Linked DNA regions of Macaca mulatta. The protein of the gene in region 1 purifies or fractionates together with the protein of each later gene. This does not show direct contact. Links are inferred from orthologs where the notes say so. Each region holds a gene or a part of one and is shown on either strand. Other genes may lie near its edges. The genes, in order: PHF6 and LYAR.

Evidence for each region.
Region 2: the proteins of PHF6 (region 1) and LYAR purify together in Homo sapiens (affinity purification with mass spectrometry; 3 studies listed by BioGRID and IntAct, with this or other methods). This does not show direct contact. The link is inferred for Macaca mulatta from reciprocal best matches to the Homo sapiens genes PHF6 and LYAR.

What each region holds. Positions count from the first base shown.
Region 1 is NC_133426.1:140,852,913-140,857,347, reverse strand, and holds the start of PHF6 (PHD finger protein 6), read right to left. Parts: upstream 2,991-4,435; 5' UTR 2,841-2,990; intron 1-2,840.
Region 2 is NC_133410.1:8,717,705-8,722,078, reverse strand, and holds the start of LYAR (cell growth-regulating nucleolar protein), read right to left. Parts: upstream 2,934-4,374; 5' UTR 2,832-2,933; intron 1-2,831. UniProt on the Homo sapiens protein: Plays a role in the maintenance of the appropriate processing of 47S/45S pre-rRNA to 32S/30S pre-rRNAs and their subsequent processing to produce 18S and 28S rRNAs. Also acts at the level of transcription regulation.

The DNA.
Region 1 (4,435 bases):
AGTTTCATAACACTATGTTAAAAAAAATTTTCTAACACTACATTGCAGCTTTCCGAGAAGCATTAGTTCACCAACAAGAACAGTAGCAGTTGTATGCTAGGAAGGTAATATCTACAAACTATTCAGTGCTTTTCAATATAAAATTCAGATAATCAAAATCTAACCTGAAGCTACAAAGAAAACATGTCTTCTCATCCATTTATGTCTAGAATTTTCTTTTAAACACAACTTCAAAGGCCCTGACAGTCTCTGCTTTGATAGGTTTAACAAACTCTTAATGCTATCTATAATTTTAAATATCTCAGTCTTCCAAATGGCAACGGAAACTTTACCATAGTACTGTATTCATAGCACTGGCTATAAACCGTGAAACTGATTGAAAACAGGCAGCAAATACTTTTAGGATTAAAGAAAAAAAAAAAGGACATAACAGAGAAACAAAAGAAACAAAAGGGAAGTGTGTTTGCATTTGCTCAGGCAAGTATGTGTTCGGTTGCTTTATCAAGAATATAGCTGCCCAAATTTTTAGAATCAACTATGCAAAACACCAAAATCCATAAACAGCATCAGAATTTGCTATTATATTTGAGTTCTAAATTAGTTTCTTTACTACTGTGCAATGAATAGTAGGCACTCTGAAATCACCATAATAATGTATTCAGCATTACTCCCGGTCATCCTGGCCAGCTGAAAGGATGGCACAGTATAAATCAAATCCCGTACAGACATCTTTAATGTGTAATTTCCAAACAATCCTAGCACTGGCTATAAAACTGGCTTAGGATAAAGAAAATTTCTAGAATGGAAAAAATCACTTCGTATTCTTAAAATTAATTCCGAAATGGCATCCCCAAAATTCTATCTATATTGAATTCTGCCTCTTCCAATTTATAAACAGGCTAATTTCTCATTCTAATTTTGAGAACCTGCTTTTCTAGATATCAAAGACCCCAAAATCTAAAAGAGAAAAAAGGTACACTTTATTTTGCATTCAAAAATATTCTAGTGTATTTTTTTCTGTAATCAGTTTAAATTTAATTTGTAAAGTAACAAGAGCCACAAAAAAAGTGCACCAAACCAATTAAAAACTTTCCCCAATGTGCAATTACTAAATGGATTTTTCCACTAAAATTCAAATAATACATCTGTGCATATCTTGGTAATTTTTTTAGTCTCCTTGTAAAACATGAAGTGGAGAACATCATGGAAACAATGACTCCTAGCAAAAAATGTCTTTATCATAAAAGTACAGATTTTTATCTAATGTTGTCACATTTGTGGTCTCTACTTAAGTAGAATAAGGGCATTCCAAGGACCAATACTAAGGGGTTCATAATGATCCACAGCTATATGGCATTTTAATTTTAGTCTAAAAGGTTTTTCAGGCCATGCAGAGATCAAAGTTTGATGCTTTCACGCAACAATGAAGCCTTTTCTTTAAAAGAAACATCGCATTATGGAAAACACTACAAAGCAGAAATAGAGAGGCAACAATAACAGCGTGTAATACATAATTTAAATGCCTGGAAAAAAAATAAAAGCTAGATTAGTTAAGCTTAAGCAATCAATGCATTTCTGATTTTCCAAGATGCTGTGAAGCACCAAGGTAGAAACAACCTGAAACATCAGAGAGAGCATTCAAGAACCAACTCCAGAGCTCGTTCAATGCCTGGTATCTGAAAAAGCATTTTCACAGAAAAACAAACAAAACAACAAAAACTGCAGTTCCGGAAGATTAAAACATTCCACGCGACAGCAAGTTGAAATATACAAATCAAAATAGATAACAAACGTGATTCCCCAAAGAAGCAGTATTTCTAACAGGAAAGTTACAGTGGACAGAAATAAACGAATAAGATATACCGGAAGGGCACCTGAATTTGGTTGCACGATATTATTACATGCTTCGCACTGCTTTTTGCGGTTATTCAAAAGGAAACTAAAGGAATTTTCCAGTTGTTTCAAACCCAAGGGTAGAGAAATAATTTGAACAGTATAAATAAGACCTGACATTACGTAGTAAGGCGATGAAAATAAAAGGTTTTCTAAAAACAAAAGATTTTCCAACTTCCACGCAGAATATCAAAACGAACAGAAATTGGAAAAGAATATCGTGGTGTTCATCCATATAATGAAAGACAGTACACATAAAGTACCGGATCCTCTCCGTTATTTATTCCCCCAATACACACTAGACTCCAAGATCTCCCTCTAATCAAGCGCTAAAGTCACAAAACTATCTTCCTCTAAAACACTTCAGCAGGTTCCTTTCCGTCGTAAAGTCAGGGTCCCCTAAACGTCCTTTTCCAATCCTCCCGAATCCAGGAAAATATCATCCTACCACTTTCTTTATGCCCCCTCCCCCAAGAGTTAGCCCTCTCACAGTCTTCGTTGTAAGCTTCCCCTTATACCCCAGTTTCACCCCTAATTCCCCCCACCCTGGAGTTTTTCCTCATTCCGTAAGGCTAGCTCTTTTGCCATCCTAACAATCTTCCTCTTACTCTTCCCAAACTGGGAGTCTCCCTCCTTCCCAAATATGTTCTAAGCAACGGCAAAAACTAAAAATTCCCAGTTTTTTCCCTCCTCAAATGTTGCGCCCCCTCCCCCGAAGTCTAGGCGTAAGCCTAACCTCTCCTTCTGTACCTCCAAGGCACTTTCTCAGCAGCCTCTCCGCCAAGCGTCTACAATGAGCGGCGCTTCTGGGGTCCCTGACAATAAAGCGAGACCACCAAGAGTCCCCTTTAACAACGGGCAGGGGCGGCGGCCTGGCCACCGCCATCCTCCTTGTCTTCTCCCGCCGGGCAGAGAATGGGGGGCCCCAGGGTTCCGTGGGGACTCACCGGCAGGGCCCAGAGGCGGACGGCAGGAGAGAAGCGCCAATGAGGGTAAAGAGAAAGAAGTCGGTCTCGGTTCTCCGGCAGTGCCTGAGAGCGGGGCTCTGTCGCCGGAGGTTGTTTCCTTTCATTCGAGGAGAGACGGGCTCGCGGAGCGCCCTTACGTCGCCCCCCTCGCACGCACACGACCCACAGAGCGTTGATACGTCCCGAGCGCGCCGCGGGCCCTGATTGGCCGCAGAGAGGGGGCCGCTGAAGCCGCAGAGACACAGCGCATGTGCAGAAACCACCCCCTGTACGGCTCGAGGCGGCAGGCCCCGCCTCCTGTTCGCGCGCGGACCTTCTATTCTCCGCTCCGCTGCTCCGCCAAGTGTTTGGGGGCAGGATCCGAGGAGATAAAGAGATTCAAAGATATCGCTGTGGGTTGGGCGGAGAAGGGGCAGGGTTGGGACTGGAAACCGTTGGACAGGGGCCCTGGGTAACCAGTTCACAACAGTGATTCACGTAGACAGGCCTTATCCCTTGCACTTGTTCACCGAGGCCTTTTCACATCCATTATTTCATTGTACTCTCGTGGCATCTCTTTCAGGTCCTCCGTTCATTTTATTGCCAGGAAAGACTGAGAAGCTCGTAGTCGAGTCAGCCTGCCTGCATTTCAATCCTTGGGCGAATCGTTTTAACCTTTATACCTTTTTTTTTTTTTTTTGGTCTTTAAAATGGGGATAAAAATAGTGCCTCACGGGTTTGTGGTAAGGAAGAAATGAAATAATGCAACTAAAGCGTGTTATTAGCATCCCTGGCATATAATAGACTCTCCATAAATGCTGGGATTATCATAATCAGAAATGGTAAGGTGATTTTCTTTATAATCTACACATGTAAACCAGACACCTAGACGAGTGCTTTCCTCTTTGGTGTATTGGAGCCATGCTTGGGTTTGAACTCCAGCTCCGCCACTTCTAGCTGTATGACCTTGATTGCTTTGTATTACCTCTCAGTCCCTCAGTTTCATCCTGTCCAAAATGGAGATCATAATGGTATTTGTCTCAAAAGGTAGTTGTGAGAAATGAGATAATACATGTAAATCACACAGAATAATGCCTAGGCATATAGTATGCCCTATGTAAGTGTTAGCTTTTGTTATTTGCTATGGGCTTCACAGACTTTAACAACAACAACAACAAAAGCCTTAACAAACTAGTGAAATTTTAAAGATGCTCTTCAAGAGCCATTTTTCCTGTAGTGGGGGTGGATTTCCACTGTTTTGATCCAGTGCTGTTTCTATACTGTTTCGTCAATCTTTTTACTTTTCTCTGCAATGTCAACTTTAAAGTGTAATTTCCCAAGCAAACAGTGACCATGGTGGTGTGACGTTGAACTCTTCAAATAGGTACCTAATAAGGGTGGACAAATCAGCCATTTAGCTGCAAGGAACCCTTAGCCCTTTTACCCAAGGCCCTATGCTGTGAAAGGGAGTGGCTAAAGATTTACATAAGAAGATCCAGAATGTGTATTCCAAACATTTATGGTGTACAAGAAGACAGGTTTCCCAGCATCATTTTCTACCAGCTTTACACACTTACTGATGCCAGGATGAGACT
Region 2 (4,374 bases), on another chromosome or scaffold:
ATGCCCAGTCCCAGTGCAGCCAGAGAGATTCTACATGCTTTCCTTCTGGCCATATGGGCATGTTAAAAGAGAAAGGCAAGCAGAAGGCAGTGTTCTTGGACTGGTTGAGAGCATACTTCCGTTCTTGCCCAGTCACTTTAACTCAATTCGGCAGACATTTCCTGAACGCTGACGCCATACTATCCACCCAGATACACCTGGGCCCTCACGCACGTCCTCTGCGTGTGCTTCTGGCTGCGTCTTCGTCTGTCTGTATGGTCAGTCTACTGAGCTCTCATCACATGCCATACACATGAAAAAGACGATGGGGTCTGCACCATAGAACACATGATCCTTAGCTCTCTACGAAGCCGTGTCCCATTTATGAACACGACTGCACCCAACACAACTAAGACTGCTTTGATCATACTACCTCCATCTGGAGAGAAAACCCAAGGCTCAGGAGGGTAAGTGAACTGCCCGAAGTCACAGTAAGTGGCAGAGGTAGCCTCAAAGACCAGGCAACAAGTCGAGGCTCCCACCCTGCCTCCATCTTGACCTGCCATGTCCTAGCCATTTGCTTGGTGGTTACTCAGTACCTAGGACGTTGAGGTCCTCATCCAAAGAGGAAAAAAAATTAAAGTCTCTACGAGATGGCTTTCCATGTAAAAATATTAGAACCCTAAGTCTTAATTATAAAGCCTGTGTGCAGTGGGCAAGGAGACCACCCATGTCACAGGAGAGGCTGTCAGGTGCTGGACAGCTAAGCTAGTTGACTGGCAGCAGCCAGTGGTCAGTAAGGGGCTGGGAACTTGTTAGTCGTCTCTTAACAAGATGGTTGCCAGGTTTTGTTGGACAGAGCCCTGGCTCAGGGGTAGAGGATCTGAGCTGGAGCCTACATCTGCTAATGCCAAAAAAGTCATTAAAAACTAAATGACTTCAAGGTTCCTTAACTTCCCAGAATCTGTTTATCTGTAAAATGGATCTAATACCTAACTCAAAGCGTTGGGTGGAAAGTTAAATAAGACATCAGATATGAAAGCTTCATCCCTGCCTAACTGTAGAAAGGTTTTTCTGTGACCTACTAATTTGCACATCAATGCTATTACACCCAGCCCCCTCCTAAACCCATGCTCCTTTAAATATGACCATCAACCCACCCATTTATCTTCATAAATTCACTCTAACCTTCTCTGGCTCCTCACCCCATGGGTGCCTACTCTACCAAGTTCCCTGAAAACATGCCCTTAGGTTTGGTTCTGAGATTGGAATGATTTTTTTTAACCTTCCTCCCTCTATATTTTTTTGTTACTTGTTATTTTTTTTTCTTTTTTTCTTTTTTTTGAGATGGAGTCTCGCTCTGTTGCCCAGGCTGGAGTACAGTGGCGCCATCTTGGCTCACTGCAAGCTCTGCCTCCCAGGTTCAAGCAATTCTCCGGCCTCAGCCTCCCCAGTAGCTGGGATTACAGGCACGTGCCACCACGCCCGGCTAATTTTTGTATTTTTAGTAGAGATGGGGTTTCACCATGTTGACCAGGCTGGTCGTGAACTCCTGACCTCAGGTGATCCACCCTCCTCGGCCTCCCAAAGTGCTGGGATTACAGGCATGGGCCACCGCGCTTGGCCCTGACTATTCTTAAAATATTCTTGCATGCACATACAGACACTGACCTACACATTATTACCACCACTACCACTGAAACAGCCCACCTGAGGGGCCTGGCTGGCAACCCCAGGACATCCCTCACTGAACACTGTGACCCTGAGCATGCCACTGCCTCTTTAAACTTCAGGTTCTCTCGTCTGTGAAACAAGAAGTCAGGCCAACTTGACAAGACTCAAGCCCCTTCCACAGGTAGCATTCTGAGCAACCATGGATGTGGTGCAAGAGAAGGACAGACAAACATACTCTGTCCACCATCCTGCCTGTACCTTTGTGTGTGGGGCTGATAAGGGTTACAATGGGTAACATTCACAAGGAGAGAATCTCTCCCTTGTTCCTTGCAAAAGCCCTGGGAAGTAGGTGCACCTATCTCCACTAAACAGATGAGCAAACTGAGGCACAGAGGCCATGTCTCTCCACCTCCCACCCCACACACTACATCACCAGCACTGTTTCAAACACCATCCCTTCACTCGGGAAACTGCCATGTGTCAGGCACTATGCTAGGCCCTGGGAGCCTGGGGCACAGTGTGAAGAAGTCCCAAGTGGCCCTCCTCTGCTAGAAATCAGGGTTGCAAATACACACCCCACCTCATTCCCACCCCCCTCTCCTCAGAGGCAGGTGCTGCAGAGAATCCTAACATTTATGGAGCACCCAAGCCCTCTCATAGGAGGTCAACGCATTTCTACGCATGCAATCCTCATCACAGTCCTCCGAGTTAGGTTCTATATGTTATGACAGATGAGGAAACTGAGGCGCAAAGAGGTTAAAAAACTTACACCAGGTAGTGGCAACCCAGATTCACACGCAGTAGTTATTCTGGTCCTAAGTACGTGCTCTGGACCGCTACATCCTAAGACCTCCTCCTCAGGGAGTGGATGCGGCCAAAGCTAGAGAAGAGCCCTGTCCCCAACATGCAGCAAGCCTGAAGCCCAGTCGGGCGGTGACCAACCGTCCTGGTTTGGCCAGGCCTGAGGGGGTTCCCAGGACGCGGGACTTTAAGTTTTAAAACTAAAACGAGTTGGTCACCCTAAGTCCAGGACTCCTGCCACTTCCCCAGAGCAGGAGTGAGATCTGAATGGAAATCCTTCCTCCATGCGTAACCCAGAGGGGCTGACGGTGTCCCTCCCCTACTCACTCTCTGAGCCCCAGCCTTCTAGGTCGGACCTCTGGGCCACCGCCCCTCACCTCTCAGTCAGCGCCCGCCAACGGTTTCAACCGGCCGCGGGGAGCACGTGGACTCGCCGCCGCCGGCCCAGCGCCGCAGCTACCTGCCTCTTTGGATTCGCGGTGCAGAATTCACTGCTGAGCCACCCAGCGCGCCTGCGCACCGCGGCCACACAACTCCCCCCCCCAGCGGAAGTGACGCCATCGGAAGCAGGAGGGCGGTTCTGGCAAGCCAAGGGGGCGTTGTCGGGATGGTTCCGCGGCCGGCGGGTCCCTGCGAGCGCCTCTGAAGGCAGCTGCTGCAGGTGAAGAGTAGGCGGCGGGGCAGAGAGCGGCCTCCGAGGGTAAGGTGGCCAGCCTTGCGAAGGCATGCAGGGCTGGCGCTGGTGGGAATGGCCCGGAAGGAAAGCGAGGCCGCGCGGCCTGAGGTGGCCCAGAAGGGCATGGACCCGCTGTTCCTTCCGCATCTCAGGGGCACTCGAGGATACCCGGGGAGTTGGCGGCTCCTGCGAGAGTCAGCGAGCTTCTGCTCTGTACCCGGCATCACAGGGGACGCGAACTGAGACCCAGAAGGCCAGGTTCCGGGCCTGGGAGCCGGGCCTTCTCCCTGGTGCAGCTCCCTCGGCCTGGAAACCCCACCCGCGTCCTCTCATCTCCAGGCTTTGCCCGCTGGAAGCCAGCCCGGCCCGCCACCGCTCCGCGCTGCCCATCTGTCGGCTCCTGTTTCCTTCCGTCCACGCTGTAGTTGAGAGTAGCGCTTAAGACGGCAGAGCCCAGAGCCTAGCTCAGTCTGATTACGGTGTGGCCTCTCTGTGCCTCAGCCCCGCATCTGTAAAGCGGGTATCATAGCGGCACCTGCGTCGCTGGAACCTTGTCATATTTCATGAGTTGGTGGTGCATGTAAATCGCTTAGACTAGTGGCTACCACTTAGTAAGTGCTCAATAAACGTTAACTATTGCTCCGCCCTTAAAACAGGGTCTGGCATACCGTGGTGGTCACTAGGTGTTTGTTGCTTAAATGAATGAATGAAAGTTGAATGGAGGATCCACAGAGTATTGTGAGAAACCTTCACTCCCAAGGTGTGTGTATGTGGGTGATGAGGAAGGTTTCACTCTGAAAGTGAGCAGTGTTGGGCCTGGAATAGAAGGTGTATTCGTTTGCTAGGACTGCAAACAAAATACTGGGTGACTTAAACACAGGAATTTATTATTTTCTCACAGTTCTGGAGGTTAGAAATCCAAGATCAAGGTGTCCTCAGGTTTGGTTTCTTCTGAGACATTTCTCCTTGGCTTGCACGTGGCTACTTTTGCCGTGTCCTCATATGGTCTTTCCTCTGTGTTTTCAAATTTCGTCTTTTTATAAGAACATCAGTCAGGTTGTATTAGGGCCCACCTTAATGGCCTCATTTTAATTTTATTACCTTCTTACAAGCCTGATCTCCAAATACAATCACATTCTGGGGTGCTGGGGGAAGCAGTTTACCCATAACAAAAGGAATTCATGAGAATGGACAAGGAGGGAAATATTTTCCAACAGAAGTGACAGAATAGCCAAGAGTGCTCA